Linked DNA regions of Arabidopsis thaliana. The gene in region 2 interacts genetically with the main gene of each other region. Each region holds a gene or a part of one and is shown on either strand. Other genes may lie near its edges.

What was found.
Region 1: of PHB (region 2) and ZPR3, extra expression of one rescues a mutant of the other (dosage rescue), as found in Arabidopsis thaliana (one study listed by BioGRID).

The regions. Positions count from the first base shown.
Region 1 is NC_003074.8:19,555,529-19,564,370, reverse strand, and holds ZPR3 (binding protein), read left to right. Parts: upstream 1-5,047; 5' UTR 5,048-5,459; intron 5,460-6,263; 5' UTR 6,264-6,276; coding exon 6,277-6,480; 3' UTR 6,481-6,855; downstream 6,856-8,842. Other genes in the region: PAP20 (Purple acid phosphatases superfamily protein), read left to right, coding at 176-313, 1,230-1,527, 1,666-1,909, 2,075-2,405, 2,487-2,575, 2,663-2,846. UniProt on the Arabidopsis thaliana protein: Competitive inhibitor of the HD-ZIPIII transcription factors in shoot apical meristem (SAM) development. Acts by forming non-functional heterodimers. Part of a negative feedback loop. Involved in SAM development and lateral organ patterning.
Region 2 is NC_003071.7:14,637,170-14,649,183, forward strand, and holds PHB (Homeobox-leucine zipper family protein / lipid-binding START domain-containing protein), read right to left. Parts: upstream 7,187-12,014; 5' UTR 6,825-7,186; coding exon 6,592-6,824; intron 6,030-6,591; coding exon 5,870-6,029; intron 5,779-5,869; coding exon 5,663-5,778; intron 5,578-5,662; coding exon 5,487-5,577; intron 5,371-5,486; coding exon 5,275-5,370; intron 5,194-5,274; coding exon 4,996-5,193; intron 4,922-4,995; coding exon 4,766-4,921; intron 4,682-4,765; coding exon 4,607-4,681; intron 4,519-4,606; coding exon 4,412-4,518; intron 4,327-4,411; coding exon 4,137-4,326; intron 4,046-4,136; coding exon 3,857-4,045; intron 3,766-3,856; coding exon 3,685-3,765; intron 3,603-3,684; coding exon 3,462-3,602; intron 3,371-3,461; coding exon 3,057-3,370; intron 2,959-3,056; coding exon 2,844-2,958; intron 2,759-2,843; coding exon 2,609-2,758; intron 2,526-2,608; coding exon 2,379-2,525; 3' UTR 2,154-2,378; downstream 1-2,153. UniProt on the Arabidopsis thaliana protein: Probable transcription factor involved in the determination of adaxial-abaxial polarity in ovule primordium. Specifies adaxial leaf fates.

The DNA.
Region 1 (8,842 bases), on a different chromosome or scaffold from region 2:
TGGAAAAAGTACCAATTAGTTAAGTTTTGGTCAAATACATTTTCCAATTTTACAAGTTTCCAAAATGAAAACAAAAAGAAGGGGAAAGGATTACTACTATATAACACTGTGTCCCTAATTCATTCTTGTCATCCGATCTCTCTCTTTCTCTCTTCTCTCTCTCTATTTCGCCAAAATGGTGAAGGTTTTGGGTTTAGTAGCAATACTGCTTATTGTTTTGGCCGGAAATGTGTTATCTTATGATCGGCAGGGTACTCGGAAAAATTTAGTGATCCATCCGACTAACGAAGATGATCCTACGTTCCCCGATCAGGTAATATTTACATTAAAATCTATATTTTTTGTTATATATTATGCATATTGGATTCTGTATCATTTATGTAAAATCCTTGTAAGTAGAATTTTGACACGGCAAGTCTCAAGATTTTGTCTTTCAGTATTGATATGTGTTAGTTTTCAAACATAAACAAGATCGACTTAAGTTTTCTCATGAAACACCAATAATACGAATATCAAGAAAACTTGGATCTTCTTCACCTCCTCGGCTTATTGGCTTCAGTAATGTTGTCTCTTATTAAAATGTTTTTGAGGGTAAAAATTTAATAAAGCAGAAAATTGTTAGATTAATCTATTGAATTAATTCTTTCTCGTGTACAAAGTTACGTTACGGAAGCATTGCCATAATTTCGGGTGATTTTGTTTGTTTTTTTCCAATTTAAACCTTTGTATACACATGCTATTTGAAACGACACTGTACTCGCCTTTTTATTAATTACGAAACGTTGAATGGAGACATTTTCAAACTATACATGCATAAAAAAGGTTTTAATTGTATCAACAAATTCAAAATTTGAGACAGATAGTTAATGATAATTGTCTAAGGAAACATCCCCTCTAGACTCTAGATAAACTTTTCAGAATCCTTAAAAATTAAAATTAAAAGATTTTCCTATGTTTGATAAAATTTAGTTTCCACAGTAGTCAATAACAGTTTAAGTTGCAAATAATTCAGAGATTCGCATCGTGCGTGTCATACTGTCATGTGACGTATGGAGTCACCACGTGTCTAATGAAAAAAACATTACTACAAATTTACCCACTTTGTCTTCTTTCTGTTAGATCTTTCGTCACTCATCTGTTTTGCAGTTTTGCTTGTACGCTTTGTCTTTGTTTATTTATAGTAATGTGTGTTCCTAAATTACTTATGAATTTGTGACGTTTAAATTCAGGTGCATATATCTCTGGTTGGGCCGGACAAAATGAGAATATCATGGATAACGCAAAGCTCAATCTCGCCTAGTGTTGTATATGGCACAGTCTCTGGAAAATACGAAGGCTCGGCTAATGGAACGTCGTCATCGTACCACTACTTGTTGATTTACCGATCGGGCCAAATTAATGACGTTGTTATAGGCCCATTAAAGCCCAACACAGTTTACTATTACAAATGTGGAGGCCCAAGTTCAACTCAAGAGTTCAGTTTCAGGACTCCTCCCTCTAAATTCCCAATCAAATTCGCCGTGTCCGGTATACATTCCATGTTTCCTCTTCACTCATATAAACTCTTTAGATTGTCCTATGTAAGTATAGATTTATGTCATCATGGTTTTGTAGCTTTATTTGTTATTTTATTGATAATCTTGATATTTTTTGATAAAAATGAAGGTGACCTTGGTACATCTGAATGGAGTAAATCAACATTGGAACATGTATCAAAATGGGATTATGATGTTTTCATCTTGCCTGGTGATCTGTCATACGCTAACATGTACCAACCACTGTGGGACACTTTTGGTCGCTTGGTGCAGCCACTTGCGAGCCAAAGACCTTGGATGGTCACTCATGGCAACCACGAGCTCGAAAAAATACCTATCTTACACAGTAACCCATTCACCGCCTATAACAAGAGGTAAGTTATTTCGATTTGTCTAGCCAACAACCAAACCTACTTTTCTTTTTAAGCTCCTTATTTATTGTATTAATTTTGGGTTTATCAGTTTTATTATGGTCTACTTTTTATTATTAAAAGAACTTTGTTATGCTAATTTTAGATATTTTTGTATACACGTTACAGGTGGCGCATGCCATTTGAAGAGAGTGGCTCGAGCTCGAATTTGTACTATTCTTTCAACGTTTATGGAGTCCACATTATAATGTTGGGGTCATACACAGATTTTGAGCCTGGCTCGGAGCAGTACCAATGGTTAGAAAATAATCTCAAGAAAATCGACCGTAAGACCACACCGTGGGTTGTGGCTGTGGTGCATGCGCCTTGGTACAACTCCAACGAAGCTCACCAAGGAGAGAAAGAGAGTGTGGAGATGAAAGAATCCATGGAAACTCTTCTTTACAAAGCTCGTGTCGATTTGGTTTTTGCAGGTCACGTTCATGCTTACGAGCGTTTTGTAAGTCTAAAGGGTTTCATTAAAAAACTGCATTGATTTTTTTTTATATATATAGAGCTAATTTGTGTGTTTATTTGACAGAGTCGAGTGTACCAAGATAAGTTCGACAAATGTGGTCCGGTTTATATTAACATCGGAGATGGTGGGAATCTAGAAGGCCTTGCTACCAAGTAAGATCTTCGTTAAATGAGATTTTTTATAAACAAAATTTGAAAATGAAACTAATTAAATGTTAATGTTTTTGATAATCATCATAGGTATAGAGATCCAAATCCCGAAATATCATTGTTTAGAGAAGCAAGTTTCGGGCATGGTCAATTGGTGGTCGAGAATGCGACTCATGCACGTTGGGAATGGCACAGGAACGACGATGATGTGTCGGTTGAAAAGGATTCGGTTTGGTTAACCAGTCTCTTAGCCGATTCATCTTGTAAGATTTAGACCCCCTCGGTTCGTATTCTTGAATGTGGTTAGGACTTGTTCCTCATCATTGATTCTATAAGATTATATGTTAAATGTCGATGTAGAATCGTAGATACTAAAAGTACTTATATATAGTATTGAGTATTGACAACAATATCAAAACAGGACACAAATGTTTTGATACCAAGTCAATTAAGAATTATATCTCATTTATATTTTAAGTTGTTATATTTTCTTTGTTGCTTTTCAACTTTTCAAATCCTTATCACTTTTTGCATATTGCTAATTCATATCAAACTAGATTTGCTTGTTGAATCGTGAGCGTCGATATTTATCCATATTTAAATGAAAATTACTTCTGTAGTAGTCCATCCAAACATCTGTAGTAGTCCTTTATTTAAAAGTTAAGATGTGCAATGATAATGTTTGCATGCAGTCTAATATGAACACACTTTACACCTTATGAATTCTGAATCGTCTGGCGCAAACATCTAACCACCAAAAACCTAAAAAAACAATCAGAAGAACGAAGAATGGAGAATAGAACAGAGAATCATTTATGTGAGATTTGATTTACCTAACTCTTCCGCCACCACCGACGCAGCAGATGATGCGACATCAATCGCCGGTAAATCAATCTCGGGTATAGCAATCGAACCACTGCGCACATCGCCTTCGAGGTGGATGTGGACTCCTTCAAATAAAGAGATTTCAGTACTTTTCTTGTGCAAAAGAGGCATGCTCCATCATACAACATGAATGTATACATACAGTAGTACGTAGCAAAATGAAATATACGTCATATAAACACAAACTTATATAGACTTTTAATCAGTTAAATTACGGTATATTTTTTTAATTCGTTTGTGTTTATATTATAAAGTTCAAAAAAGATTAGGTTAGATTAACAAAGGAGAAAATAACTAGAAAATTCCAATTAATTAATAAAAGCGAAATATAGTTTCTCTGAATGGTAATCTAATATTCTATACCAAACATTTACTACATTAATAGGGGTTACCAAAACCGAATATTTGAATATTCTTAGGTTTTTGAAATTTACATGGTAAAGAGACAAAGTTTTCAACCTTTTTGGGGTGTGAAAATTGGTCCGACTGGGTTATGATTAACCAAAATTAATCCTAGAACCAACTATATTTATAAATTAAAGTTTCATTTTATAAATAAAAATCAACACCAAACCGAATTGTCAAACTTAGACCAAAGCAATGAGGGGTAGAAACGGCATTGCATAGGCCAGCAAGAAATGAAGCTGCTCACACCTTTAAAATCATTGCCTTTGGTGTAAGCAAGTGTACCCACTCTTTAGTTCCATTTCAAGACACACCTACTTAATACTAATTGTGTTTCAGTTTTGTTTAACTTCTACAATCAGCATATTTACAAAAAACACAATTTCTCACATTTATTCCGTGAAAGAAGGGTTAAAAGAAGCCGTACAAGATTTATATACACAAGCCAAAGTAGTTTTAAATAAACGTGAAATTGTAGTCATCTTCTTTTTGGGGGTTAAGTCATGGGCAAACGAACGAGTTTTATTCAAAGGCATGTGAAGTTACGAAAAAAAGAGAAGTCATAAATACATCCAAAAACAACCACCTCACTGTTTATGATGTTTCACGTTCTACAACACTTTTGATCCATGATTATTTTTTGTAGGTTTTACGGCTCCAAAGTCCAAACACTCTTCTTCTTCATTATTTCTTTCTTTTTTTCTTCTCCCACCATAATTATATCAAATCTTGAATGCTGAGACAATATAAGAGGACAAAAAAATGCATTTTCAAATTGTGGTATACTATGATTTTCATACAAAGAAAAAAGTAACAAATAGTTTAACACACAAAGGAAACTATTTGTATCCGAAATAATAATCTAAAACATAATAATGGTGGAGTGTAATATTTGAACTAAACCAAGATTGAGCTAACCGGGACATGAGATGGGGAAAGAGAGCATTTACAAAATGGTCCAAAACGGTTGAAATAGAATCATGAAGGATGATGGTTCGAACCAATCTTTACCATCATTGCGAATCTTTAGAGGTCGATGGCCTCTTCTACTATAGCCCCTCTCATTAGTCCTACACAAATGACAATATTACCCTCCTCTGTACTACTTCCTTCGTAATGACGTAAATACCCTTACTCTAGTTCTTTTAACCGAATCTTCTGTTTAGAGGACGAATACGATGAAGAGCCAAAGGAAGTGCTAGGGGATCTTTCGGAAATTACGAAAATATCCCTGAAGATCAATTTCGAAAGAAGAGCAAGCAAGAAAACTCCTTTTTTTTTTCTTCTCTCTCTCTAACTTCTTTCTCTTTAATAAATCATCATCATTCACATGACGCAATATGCACAAATCTCCTCTCTCTCTCTCTCTTCTTGCGGCCGCCATCTATGCAGAAACACAACACAATGCATGATTGTTGTGTCAGGAGAGAGAAGGTTCTTTCTCTTTCTCTTTAGCTTTTGGGGATCTATATAACAGACAGTGTCTCACTTTGTTCTCTTTGTCCCTCTACCTTCTCTACACACACAAACTAGCGTCTCTCTTCTCTCTCTCAATCTTTCTTCGTTATCTCTGCTTCTCAACACTCCTTCCCAAAAGGTATAACCTCTATTCTCCTTCTCTCTCTCTCACTCTCTTACTGTTCTAGAAGCTTAACGTGAGTTTTCTCGACATGCTCTGTTTCTGTTTCTTGCTCTGTTATCTATCGCTTTTGCGTTCATACGTTAAGATAATAGTTATGTAGTAACGTCACACGTACAACTAACGTGAAGACAAACCCTTAATTTCTCTCTTTTTCTATGTTAAAACTTTTTCATCTTTTAAAATATTCCTCAATGATGGAAAGTTTTTAATCTTTATCTTTTTCTTTGAGGCAACCGAAATAAATAAAAAAAATTGTTTGATTTTTCTTTTTAATAGTCTGTATTGCTACGATCACCATCTTTGTTTTGTTGCTTACTCTGTTTTTTTCTAGCGTTTCAAATATAATCATTACTCTCTCTGTCCATAGAGGTTAAAACATTTATAATTACTGCATATATATCATCATGATTACTTGTTTTTATCTCTTTTCTTCAATTTCTTTCTCTTTATTAGCTTTATCTTTTTATCCTCCATACAAATTTATAATCATGTTCTTCTTCTCTCTTTGATCATTGATTTCATAAAAAGAAGAAAAAGAAATTCACATGAAAACGAAATAAATGCGACAAATGATTTTTCCTATAGCTAATGTAATTCACATCCGACGTGTGAAGCTGCACAACCCATGTGTGATGTAATGATTTAACATGAACAATAATAATCATAACACAAGCTTTGGTTTTATTGATATTATTACTCTCTTTTTCTCATTTATTTTTCAAAATTCGTAATAATACTTTTGTTTTGTTTTACTTGTAGCAAGAAAGCAGAAATGGAGAGGCTAAACTCGAAGCTGTTTGTTGAAAACTGTTACATAATGAAAGAGAACGAGAGACTAAGGAAGAAAGCTGAGCTTCTGAATCAAGAGAACCAACAGCTTTTGTTTCAACTCAAACAGAAACTCTCCAAAACTAAGAACTCTAACAATGGATCAAACAATGACAACAAATCAAGCTCTGCTTCTGGACAATCTTGATTTAAATCAAGAATACGTTAGAGCAAGAGATCTCGAATCCGTACGTAGGAGAAGATTAAAAGAAGACCCAACCTTTTGGAAGTATTTTATTTTGTTTGGTGTATTATAGGAAGATAAGTAGTATCGAGCACTGTAGTAGTTATTATGAAAAGAAGATTCTGTTTTATTACAAGAAGACAGTGTCTCTCTGTTAGTCTTCTCAGTCATATTTTTACTTTTGTTTCTATTTTCTATGTTAATTAAAGATCCTCTGGTGTGGGGTTGGGGACTTTAGGATATGGTTGATTCTTGGACTAACATTTTGTACCTTTGCTCCATTTATCAAATATTGTCAAGTGCATATCAATCAACTAATGTATCGTATATAACATGGGGACAAGTTATTCGATTTTTATAATCATATACAAAACGCATTCAATATTGATATATCATCTCATACAAAAACAAAAGTGACCCATTTTGTCCATGATATTTTCCGATCGAGTAAGACAGTAAGTGGAAACTGAATCGTTGAATTGACACTAATTATTCATCAGGATTAGCAAACACTTCTTAAGTATAAATAGGTCTATGTAATTTTCAAGTAGACTAGAGTAGAGGAAATGAGGAAGAAAAACAATATTAATAGTAGTGTTTGTGTATATATAGTCTACATGTGTTGTAGCAAGTTCAATGAAAGCTTTATCCTAACATTCTAAATTGAAATGATTTAATTATTATGCCATGTGCATCTGAACAATTTAATTATTATGGTTCAAACCAGTTGTTGATAATATTGGTCATGTAAATCATTTCCTTCAACAACAGTAATACTGGATAAAACCTCAGAATGGATAATATCAGAATACTATAGCTTTAAATAGACCAAAATTGATGCTACGTCAAATTTACACACACTCTTGGGTTTGAATATGAATTATAAACTCCAGTCACTCTCTAAATGTGTATATCTATTTTTTTTTTTTTTTTGTTATGATGGATGAATTGAGCATAAAATGTTAACTAATTAATTAAATTTTTAAAAACTAAATAATTTCCCAATATTCGTTTGGAATATATATTTTCCATTTAGAAAATAAAAGAAAAAGGAGGGCAGAAGGTGTCATGACATGAGATTCAAGCGGCTCTGTCCAGAGAGATGAGACAAGGGGCTTTTCATTCGGATTCTATGTGACGCCATCACACACACCCCTACAAGTTATTATTATATAGTATTAGTCAAAAAACTATTCATTTTCGTTTGAAAAACTAAACTACGAGTTCTCTGCTCTTTTATTTGACTTCTATTTTTCCTACAACTACTTTCTAAACATCAAGTCATTTCACATTTTTTTTTTCTTTTTTTTTTTCAATTCTTCACATTTTCAATAAAAACTTGAATATTTTCAAATTGGATTTAAAATAATTTGTTTCCTAAACATTTTATAATGACAAATCAAATTCTTCATATGAGGTCGATAAACAAAACCTTATTAAATTAAGGATATACCAATATTGGAGCACTATACTTTAATGTGTCCTTTAATTTTGTTATACATCAATGTGTCCTTTAGTTTATTTCGTGGAAATATGGGAAAACAAATATAAGTGAATAATAAAAATTATATTTTTAGCAAAAAAAACCCCGTAAAATAGATATTTATAATAATACAAATAAAGTAAGGAGTATATAGACATACAAATGTTTAGCTAGGTTTATTTGTCAGCATTTTTTTTTAATTGCTTGTATAAGCTTTTCTTGTCAACTATGTGTAACTATATCCTGTCATAATTATACTAGTTTAATAGAATTTACTTTAACTTGAAAAATTCCCACAAGTAATGAGTAAATAGACAAAAAGTTTTGGATATACTTAACACATATTTTAAACATCGCAAATACGGATGCAATATCAATAGTAACATTTGGTATGTTCTTGCATATCAAAATGTGTTCGACAAAAATAGACTAGAAAAACAAGGAAGATGTCGCATCGAACTCAAGTGTTTGTGTGAAAAATAAAATTTGAGGCGAAGAAGAACAATCATGATATAATTGGCCGAAATGAATAATCATCATATATCATAAAACAAGGCAAACTCGAAGTCAACTTTGAAATCTCAGTTTTAGAGATGTCCGATTTATGATTACTCCAAATCTCTTTGGAAGACCATGCAAGGCATCATCATCTGACGTCAGAATTAATTATGGACCTCTGGTTTTCAATTTTCACAATCATTATATTTCCTCACTTCTTATTTATGAGACCTAGATCTTGATATCGGTCAATATGTTATAGGTTTGAGTTACGATGTTACAATATCTTTGACTCTCAACTTATGCAAATTATATTCTGCAGTTGCTCTTCATATAATCTTATCT
Region 2 (12,014 bases):
ATGAGGATCAAGAAAGTGCCGTAAAATGTAAAACTTCCAATGTTCCTTAGTGAAAAAATGTAAATATATATTTTCCAAAAATGTTAAACTTTTCTGTTGACAAGACGTGTATATAAACATCACCTATACCGGAGAAGAAGAAGACACAAAACAAAGTTAAAAAGAAGAAATTTTTGGTGCAGTGAATTCGAAGAGCAATATGAAGAATATTGGTTACTTTATTATAGCCACCGTGGTTGTTGGTGTCCTCCTCATCTTGGCTCTAGTGGCGAGTTTCTTATGGGCCAAACGACATGTCAAATGTTGTGGCGGAGAGGGAATGTCGTCAAAAGATGTGTTCAATTTAGTTATACAATTGGTTGCTTGTATTCTGCTTTGTGGTTTATTTGCTTATTTGGTATTTTTGGTTTAGATTAGTAACCTAAAGGCATAGCAGATAGAACACATCTAATATCTTCTGCGAGACCGTATAATGCATGCATACATGCTTTAAACACCGAAATTAATTCAAGAATCAAAATGTAACTTGCTACATGAGTTGATATCAAGACTAAATTTCATGGAATTAATAAATAAAAATTACGGTAAATTATGATGTTATGGATCTAGGAGATTACACGATAACTAATTTTTTTTTATCATAACTTATGTTCCCTCAACGGAAGAATACCATTAATATATGATATATCATAATTATTATTTTTATTTAATACCATTAATATATGATATATCATAATACTATTAAAATATCATTTAAAATGGAACGGAAGAGTAGTTTAGATATTATAGTTTTCACTTCTGATTTTTGTTATTATATATTTTATAGATAAACAAACTATTCAAGTCAATAACATACTATTGCTTAATAATGCTCCTTCATATATAGTAATCTATTGTCAATGGATTGTGCAAGCCAAAGACATGACCTTAAAGTTTTCTTATGGTGATAGAGCCATGGAGGGAAGAGGCTACAAAGTTGATGTTGCCTTATGTAATATACCATCATCAGTGGTTTTTCCAAAATCCAGAAACTTGGTGGTGCCTTCAAAAGTTCTAGTGAAATGGGAAGGAAATGTATTGTTCCCGATGCATATACACGGGAAGAAACAAAATTATGAGAAGAAACAAAATTATGATTAAATGTTTAGTACAATAATATTAATTATTAAAGCAGTATCGTTTTTTCGATATCCTATGAATTATTTATTCATCTTTACTAAAGCTAAAGGAGAGGCGCGCAGCAACTTGATAAACTTATTTCCTACAATTATGGAAATGTTATTGCGACCGTTTTACCAAAATGGTCACTTCCACCGTTTTTCTAAAAACTTTTTTTAACCATTTTTTTCTGCTACAGTCTTTTACCAAAATGGTGGCTTTCTCAGTAGAATACGATAACATTTAAAATTTTCATTAAAATAGACAACTACAGAGAAAAAAACGTGTATAGGTTTCATTGACAAAAAAAAGGTTTCTCTGCCTATAAGCTAAAGAGTAGGAGGCATCATCATCATTTACTTTTCTTATGATAGATACGATTTCAGTATACGTTTTTTTTTTTTTTTTAGTGTACGATCAATTTATAAATAGGCATGATGTATTCATTTATTGTGAAGATTCATGCAAATCTAATCTTTAAGTTTGTTTGCAGTGCTATTAACGGCTTCGCACAACTAGAACCTGTATTCAAATTGGACCACCCTCCATTATACAAAACAATAATACCCAAATCTAACATAATATCTTATCAATAATACATATATTTCTATTTTATTATAATTATTGATATACATACTCCAAAATTGCACAACGTAACCAGCTAGCTCATTCATCTATCTTTCTTACTTTATAAAAATGAAACATCATTATTATTAGCCTGTTAGATGTTCCAAAACTTAATATAGTTTCTTTGTCCAATTAGATATTTACGAAATTTTAACTCATATATTTTTTTTTTTTTCTTTTTTTTTGGCTACAAACTATGAGACTTCAGTAAAGAGCTAAATTTTAGCAGCATAACTAAAACATTCAGGGAAAGAAAAAACTACACGTCAAACAAGAACCCCCTATAGTAGACAAACTAGACATAGATGGTCATATAAATAGGTAGTTGAAAATAGAAACTAGTCACCTTGTGAAAGCAAACGAGCACAAGAAAAAAAACTTGATAACATTATCATAATAATCTTGCCATATAACGTAACATAGGAACAAGAACAATCCATACAAGATCAGACATTCGTCATATTACATATTGGTCCTCGAATTTCAAAAGACTTTGGAGCATAGTGGCACCTAACTTTAATATCTTACATAAATAACCTCCCTACCAAGGGAAAAATGGAGTAAAATCTGGTCTTCTTATTTCTTATTATTCTTCAAACGAACGACCAATTCACGAACATGAAAGCTAAGCAGTGGTTTGATTCATCGTCTTCAAGAACTTTCCACACCGTTGCCTGCTCGTAAGATACCATCCTTCCCATGCTTGACGCACATACTCCTGCCGGCAGATGAGCATAGCCCTGTAAAACAAAATTTAGATTCCAAGTCAAACAATGATTTTTCCAAGAAAATGTCAAAATGTTTCCCAAGAAAAAACAAAAACCTGTTGCATGATCTTGGGGAACTCAGAGCAAAGAGCTTTACGACCAGGTTCGTCAAGGGTCTTGTCTAGCATTATGTCTTGAAGGGCTACAAGAGTCGTTTCCAGCATGTCTAAACCGGTTTGGTTTGCGAATGTGAAAACCGGTGAAGCCTACAGATGAGAATTTATGTCAGTCATCTCAAGAACATGTTCTAGTCACAAATACAAAATCTGAATGGGAAGCCTTGTTACTTACGTTTGTTTTGAGGGAGCAGCACAAGATTGCATCAGAGTGATTCCAGAGTTGATGCAGCAACGTGTCACCACTGGTTTGAGAATCAGATCCAAAGAGATCTGCACCAGTGTGAAGGCTACAAAGCCAAAAAGAAAAGAAGAGAAATTCAGATAAAATACTCCATAGATCATGTAAACAAAAGCAGAAACCTAGAGGCTAATGATAATGAAGTACCTGTAACTCCGGGAGATCCAACGGACCAGAGTGAGAGCTTCAGGGGAAGTGGGAACAGATATTGGACTGATATTGGAGCCAGGACGAGGAGCAATGGCTAGAGCAACCCTCTGAATCGATCCTACTATGCTTCGCACGTACTGACGTGCCATTGAAGCAACACTGTCTCTTGAATGGTTATCAAATGTGAACTGGAATGCTATGGTTAGTACCGACCTAAAGTTACAGCCATTTGGGTCGGCTTCACCAGCTTGACGTGTGGATCCTTCTAAAGCTGAGGCTAAATCCAGGGTACGGTTTGCAGATGCACCGTTCTATATGACAGTGAAGGATTAGAAATTTAGAATATTGCGTCAAGAATAAATGATTTGGGACTGATCCTTAAATGGCTTTTTGACATGTTACCGGAGTAGATTTCTGTTCAAGAGGTATGATGCGGAAACCGGAAGGAAGCAAAGGTGCATCATCAGCAAATGATTCATCGATAGGGGCAAATACAAGCTGTGCACAACCTCCAACCACATTTTCATCAACACCGCTACAAAGCTAGACAAGAATCAAGAATCCAAAATGTCATGAAGAGAACAAAGGAGCATAGAAACTTTGGAGTTAAAGTATGAAGTCAAACCTGTAGCAAATACATATCCCGAGCTAAACCCATGTCTTCGGGTGAGTAAGCGTGACCTTCAAGTCTAACCACCTCAAGTGACTGAAACAAGTAACCAAGAAAGGTTTCAGGACTATAACACGTATTTAGAGAGAGGAGAAAGTGAAGCTGTGTTATTCTTTGATAAAAGTACCTCTTCATGTTCAACTGTCTGCGCAAGAGGAAGAATGACTTGGTTACTTGGGAACCCCCCAGCTCTAGCACAAGGAACAGCAAAAGGACTTGCTCTGAGCGATGCAGCAGCATAAGCATCCACGCCATAATCAGCCCATTCAGATCGGTGTTCTCTAAGGAATCGAACCAGCACAGCGGGTGGAACGTTCTTCAAACAAAAAAAAAAAGATGCAAGTTAGTTAGAAACAGACAGAAACAGAATATTAGTTTTTTTATTATCAAATCCTTAAGACATGTACCTGAAGCAACATAGATGCCTTGGCACAAAGCACGCCACTACCAAAGCTTGGAAGGAATGAATTACCGTACTGAGACCCACCAAACTTCCCAGGGGACAAGTTTATCATTACAGTAACATCCTCTGCACCATCGCTACCCATTGGTGACCATCCATCATCCACAAAACCATTAACAGCATCATTGAAACCCCTGAAAGTTCATCCATATTGAACAATTAGAATAAGAATAAAAGAAATTCTTGGTGATAAAGCTATTAAGTAAAGTAGATACTTACCGACAGAGTCTTTGACTGAAGGTTCTTAAAACCGCAGGTTGGCGCCCTCCACCATACTGAACTTCTCCACTTGTTTCTTGTGCAATTTGTCTTACATGTCTCAAAGCCTGAAATAAGACTCCGAACTTAAGAAACATTGCAGCATACCAAGTCGTTCAGGTCATATACAGTTTGGATAAAGGTATTTGAACTTACAGCAACAGTCATTTTCTGAGCAAGAATCTTCGATGATTCATAGAGAGGCCTCATGACTTCAGGGACACTCCAGGCCTTGCAAAACCGAAAAAACAAAGTCATGATCATATTATAAAGAGAGAACTGAAGTGTTATGAACCGATTCGAGTTGTCACTTACATCCAGATCAACATGATCAACAATGTGGAGAATGGAACCACCACCATCGCAAGGACGGATGAGAAACCCGCTTGGTTTCATTTCAGCTCTCACAAAGTTTGAAGAAGGTGGCCCAGTGGGGCCACCAGTTGCAGAAGTAAGCGACCTTTCACAAACCTGAAGACAGTGAGTGAAGACAAAAGTATTAAAACAGAAACTACATAACAGAAAAAGCAGATTCAAGAACTCACCACATAGCTTCCATCTTCCAAACATGTGCTATATCTCAGCGTCCAAAAGTCACGAGCTGCTGCTAAAGTCGTAGGAGCATACATCTGCGTGTAAATAAGCTCGATCGTCCCACCGTTTCCAGCAGGTATCACACTCAGAGTATCCACACTTCGACAATCTCGGAGCCAAGATGGACGATCTTTGAGAATTTCAGCAACCTATATTTGTTTTCAAATCAAGACTAGCGTAAGCTAATGATTATAAACACAAGCCAGAACGTAACAAATCGCACTCTTTACCTTCATGGGTTCTAAACTCACGAGGCCGCAGGCACGTGCTGCAATTCCGCTGCAGTTGCGCGAAATAGCGACTATGCCAATAGAATCCGGACCAGGCTACACCAGCAATGAAGGTTCATCAAATAATCATAAACAACTTCATCTTCAGACACAACTAAAGAATAGAAATCAGATTATACAACTTTAAGAGTATTCAGGCCAGAAAGTATTACCTTCATCCCAATCATCTGAACCCAGTCAACAGCAGTTCCTGTAGCCTTGGAAAGGAACTCTGCTAGGGCCTCCTCTGCTATAGAAAGGAGTCTAAACAAAAAAGAACCATTTAGGTTGTCACAGAGTGGGAAACAGAATTCATTAGAGAGTTATAGAGCAGACAAGAAAAGCTCACCCTGCTGGGTTGTTAGCATCACGTTGCTGATGCTGAGGATTTGGGTTTTGCTGTTGATGTTGCTGACCACTCACGACCACAGACTCACAGCTGTTGTCTGTGGTCGTCCCAGAAGCCTACATTCCAAAAAAAAGATAACAACTTTCAAACAAAATGCTTCATAGAATTGAGTTTTAGAGACAGAAAATAGTGAAAAGTGAACTTTACAGTGTGAAGTTGATGTTTCATGTGGCCATTCTCATAGACCAAGTTAGAAACTTGCTTCTGCAAACGATCATTCTCTTCCATCAAGAGTTTGTTCATGGCATTGAGTTTTCTGTTCACTGTTTGAAGACGAGCAGCTTCTTTCCTCTGCTTCTCACGACATCTAAAAATCAAAAGGAAGCTTCGTTAGACCAACTAAGCCAACATAAAAGCCAAATGTGCATGGATGATGGGAAGAAATGTTAGTGGATGAACAGAGACAGACACCATTTGTCTTTATAAAACACATCCAATGATATAAAGAAGAAAAGATAATGTAAATTTTTCCCCTTTATCATATCATAATTTCTGGCAGAAAATCTTAAGCTTTTGACAGAAATAAATGTTGGAAACGCATTCAAAGACAATTTGATTAAATGTCACTTTCGTGAATTTAGATATTCAACCAACTAGATACGTCAAAGCATATGGTAAACAAAGTTTCTTGCTTTAAAGAGATTTAGAAGACGATTAAAACTCATAACAAAATGATCACTGAGATCCAAAAAATTCTTGTCAGATAAGAACAGCAAGGAAACTTAAATACAACTGACCAGTCAAAGAAAGAAAAACATTTAACATCTTCATAAACTCATATACAAACAAAAAGATAATCTAATGGTAAGAAAACAATTAATACAGACAAAAGGTAACAACTTTGATAAGGAAAGAAGATGAAATTTCACCTGCGGTTCTGAAACCAAACTTTGATCTGCTTAGGCTCGATGTTAGAGAGAATCGGACATTCACGTATGAGTTGTTGTCTTCTTAGAGAACTTGGCTTAGGACACTCAGTGTAAACTCTCTCGAGAGCTTCCACTTGCTCCGGCGTGTACCTCACATACTTGCCGGAATCTAACCCTTTATCCGGCGACTCTCTGTTCATCATATCTCTGCTCATCGAATGGACCATCATCATAGCTCAAAGTCAGAAATAGGAAAAAAGGACGATTCTTTTGAATGGGTAAAGCTTGAAAATTGGAGAAATCCCTAGGTTATTTTCAAGGGTAGGCTCTCTCTACTCAGAGAGCCTCCACTCACGTTCATGAGATAATGGTGAGAAAAAAAAGGAGTTTTGGAGAAAGAACAAATAAACAAAAAAAAAAGTTTCTATTTTTATTTTTTTCGGTTTATTTGTTATTTCTTTAGCTCAAGACAGAAAACGCCAGAGGGCAATGGCGAGAGAGGAGAGGAAGGAGAAGCGAAGAGATAAGAGGAGCAAGATAAAGGAAGCAAAGTAGAGGTCTTTATCTCAGACGCCAATCTCGAGATCCTTTTAAGACATGGTCCAAAAAAAATAAAACATAACTCTAAAAGAAATTACTTTTCTTTTGTGTGGCGCGAGAAAGACTTGCAAGAACATAAAAACAGCATAAAGGTAAAAAAAAAATGAAAACTGAAACGCCAGGTGGGTTGAATTTGATAAAAGCTTTTTACTTTTACGGTTTTATTTACATAGCTAAAATAAATTAATATCTACTGCAAAATCTCATAATAATTTATACTTTGTGTCCATATTTGTACTCAATGTGTTCACTAAAAACATTTACTTTAGTAAAAAGAAAATGATTTGTCCAAAAAAAAAAAAAAAAAAATGTAAAAAGAAAATGCAATTGAGTTTTATGTGTACTAATTACTACATAAGTTTCTTCTGGTTATAACTTGTGATGCAAAAATAAAATAAAATTATTCTAGTATTTGTAGCAATAAAAAATTAGCTAAGAAATAATTAAAATAAGGTGCAGGATAAAAAAGGGGAAAGACAATAAAGGAGAAAAGCCAACACACGCAAAACAGTCTCTGCAAAACCCATCTGTTTTTTTTACTCTACCCACAACAGTAATGATAAAAATACATATAAAATAACTAACTTAATATGGAGGCAGAGAAGACAGGCCAATCTTTGTTTTTTTCTTTACCTTTTCTTTTTAATATTGTTATGTTTTATTCGAAGAAATTGTTGTCAGAAGAAACGGATATTTGACGAAATGGGTATTTTGCTAACTTAGGGAAAAAAAAATGCTGTTGTCTTTAGCTCTGTGAGAAGGACATCACATAAGTTTCTTTCTCTTTCCTTCTTTCTGATGTTCATCATATGCTGATGCTGATGTATGTTGCATGTACAATATATCATCATGTGTATATCTACGTACATCTTTGTATGCATTAGGTTTATGATAATGATGATGATAAATGTTGCATGCATGAGGAAAATGGTGTGGGAATGTCACTCACCGAGCGCGTGAGAAGCGTGAAAGGGACTTTATTTTTTTGAAATATAAAGTTATTAGTCCTGTCAAAAAATGCCTCAAATTAGGACTTTTTGTGTGTTTAAACTTTCTTTTATGAAATTTGGCTTCGCTTTGTTAGTTTCAAAGCTTTTTTGTTTATTAGAGTTTTGGTTTTTTCTGGTCAGATTATGAATATATTCGATTCAAATTTGAGTCAAGAAATAAATAGAAAGAGAAGACAGACAAGTTTGGCATTGGTAAGTACAGTCTGTTTTAGGTTCTGTAAGAGTTGTACAAAATCAATGCTCGGACAAACGACTAACTTCTTATAACTACGGTCTACGTGTCTATACGCTAGGACAAAAAATAAATACGTAATATTTTTTTTTTTTTATATATACGTAATATTTTTTTTTTTTTTTTATATACGTAATTTAATACTAATACTGTACATAGAGAGAGAGAGGAGTAGGAGGAATAAATGAAGGTGGTCATGTGAAGTCTCATCATGAGTCCAACTTTGTGCATGCGCTTCGATTTTCTACATGGCAGATACCACCACACGTAGCTCCCTATATCCTTTTCTTCGACACCCAATTAACCATTTTTATTTCAATAAAAGGCTACAACTACTAAATACTTTTCTCCATCGAATACACGCAAAATAAATGCTTTTCAAGTTGTATTCTTTTCATAAAACACCACTTAACATTATTTAACTACACAATATTACGAGGTTTCTTCTCGCGCCACTCAAAACATTTTTCTTTTGAGTTTTGAGTTTTGTTTTCCTCATCACGAGGGATTATTAACTCCTGCATGTTCACCATTTATATACCGTGTTTGAAGTTTGAACTATGGTAAATGGATTTTTTTTTGGTTTTCATTGTTGTGAAGGTTTAGTCGCATCCTTCATTTGTTAATATCATCGCATAATCAAAGCAAATGAAAAAAGAAGTTGTAGAAAAAAGTTTTCAAAATTATCTGACAAGTAAAAGATTGTGAAAGTAGGTTTTCATTCATTTTTTTTATCGTGTTACCAATTTACCAATCAAAATCTATATGACTTATATGGATTAACTCTTTTGTAATAGAATTCCAAATGGTACTTGTTATTATGACATTTCAAATGTTGTTTTCAAGAAAATATTTGGACTTACGACTGAATATTTATGGTGGAGATATATGCTCTCAAGTCTCAACCCATGTTTAATCTACCACTAATGCATTGATAAACATTAAACACACAGCATTTACTCATTCAAATATAAAGCCTAGGTACTAAATTGTTTAGCAATTTGCATTTTGACTGTTCACCCATAACACATTATACATTATGCAATGATTTTTTTAAAACGCTTTGGATGCTTTTATGATAAGGAAAAAAAAACTACAAATAGAGTGAATAGTTTGGTTGCTGGAGAAAAAAGAATGTCAAACCTTTAAATTTGACAATATCAATCTTTACAAAATAATAATTGGCTTTATCAATTATATATTCCATTTTTATTTGTGTGCCAACTTTTTATTTTAGCAAGAGGCATGGAGCAAGAGAGTACCCCACTGGGCCAAGTCCACTTACTCTTGTTCCCATGTCACACACTACATTGTACATTGCTTGATTTCCCAAAATTTACAATGCTTTTTTCTTTTTCTTTCTTCTTGTTGGTGTCATTTTCCGCCATTGGTATACTTCTTTTTGGAGCTCCACATAATATATGTGATATAGATATAAATTTGCGTATAGATCCACGCTTTTATCTCGTTTCATATGTGAATCAGGAATTTTAATTTAAAGTTTCATTTCTCAAGTATTTGCCTATTTGGACGTCCTAACCATACCACCATTTAAAAACCTAATTTCCTGACACCTAGGTTTGAACACTAATTAAGATAAGCGATGCACAATGAGTGCAGTCTAAAGTCTCATTTGGATTCAACTAATCAATTGTTATTATGATCAATTCATTGGACTGAAACTTATTTCACAGCCCTTATGGACTGGCCAAACTTTACATATATTGTGAACAGATAACATTGAGTGGAATTATATATATGAAAGTCAAGGTGATCGTACCATTATGAAGTTCAATCACTCTACATAGTATTACCAACACAATCTCATGAATCTTACATAAGTTGCAAAGTATACAATGGTTGGTTAGAGTTAGATCGAAATCAGAGATCAGTTTTCGTTGAACATGTCTACTCTATAATTATTAAAAATTTACATGGATTAAGACTAGAGTCTACAAACGTTTTCAGTTGAAATTCTTATTATGTAGTCTAGAAAACTAATCCTAATACCAAAAGAAAGCATCCATGATAATACCTAATCAAACTTTATTATAATTACTTAGGATTTGCTTTTTCTCCGTATATATAAATACAAAAACAAAACATGAGTTTACTCCATAAATGGGAAATCGATGCAGCAATGATATTGAGATCACATACTCAATGGAAGGGAAAAGCACAAGTGTCTTTTTATTCCACTCTTTGGAATGAAATGAAAGTGAAAAAAAAAAAAAAAAAGTCAAATAGAAAAGCCCTATTTTTGTCACAATTGTGTTCTTCTTCCTTTGCTTCAATCTCACATCTCTTTCTCGCTATCTCTTGTTTCTATTGTGTTAAAAAGAGAGAGAGCAACAGAGGTGGAGGAAGGGACCCATGCATGGGAATGATAGAGGTGTAAAGTCAGGCATGGATAAAAACGAAGGCTCCAAGTTTGATAGGCTGCTCATGCATATATTGTTTTTGATCATATAATAATATAATTTAATAATTATGAGTGGGATTAAAGTTTGTAGATATCACTCGCCATGACCTTAACAATTGAGCTTATAAAAGACGTTCCACAAATATACATTTTTTTCACTACGTCATATGACGACAACATCGCGTTTGATTCTGAAGAAGAGGATCGTTTTCAATCAAAATAATTGATCCTTTACCCAAAAGATTATAATATTTCAATCAAATAATGGACCCGTTACCAAATTAACTATAGTTGATTATGGTGTGAATATGATGATCAGTATATATATATGATCTAATGATCCATCAAAAGAGTTCATTTCATTTTGGTTTTTCTTTTAATTTTATCTGGGCGTCAACCTGCGGTTCTGTATAGCTAAAGGAACATAGTCGACCTTTCATATAATAGAACCCACACTATACAACCCATGAAGAAGATGAAAAATCCATTATATTTTGCTCTCTTTTCCAATGAAACTTTCATGCAATCATTCCCTATGATTTGAGTTATGCATCTCCACATACACACACATGAACACCAATTCATGTGTATGTGACCTAACCCACAATGCAAAGAACTTTTGATGCAGTCAACATTTGGAAACACTCCAATAATATATTGTTATTTATGTCCTATTATTTAATATATAAGTATACATCTTAGGATTTTTTAATGAAAGTACTAAGGAATTCAGATAAATTCATATTCAAGGTTTTAATTTATATGGTTCACTGGTATCTCTTCATAAAAATATTACTTGGTTGCTTTTTCTAAATTTGAAGAATAACCGAATGATATTTGACATAATATCTTATTTGACAAAGATTCTTTATATAATTTTCATTTCCCAATTTTCCATCATATACAGAGACTAGAGAAGGAAACACATGTACTTTGTTTTAATAAGTATTTGATAAACTCACATCAACTGTCTAAACTCCAGAGAGACAGTAGCTAAAGCGCAATAAGCCAACAACCAAAACTTCAGCCAGAAGCTGTCTGAAAATCAAAGCAATGCTTTTATGGAATCTTATTAAATCCAAATATATAAATAAACAGAAAAGGCGCAAGAGAACAAAACATGACTTCAGAAATATAAACTGTCTGGGAGTGAAATGAT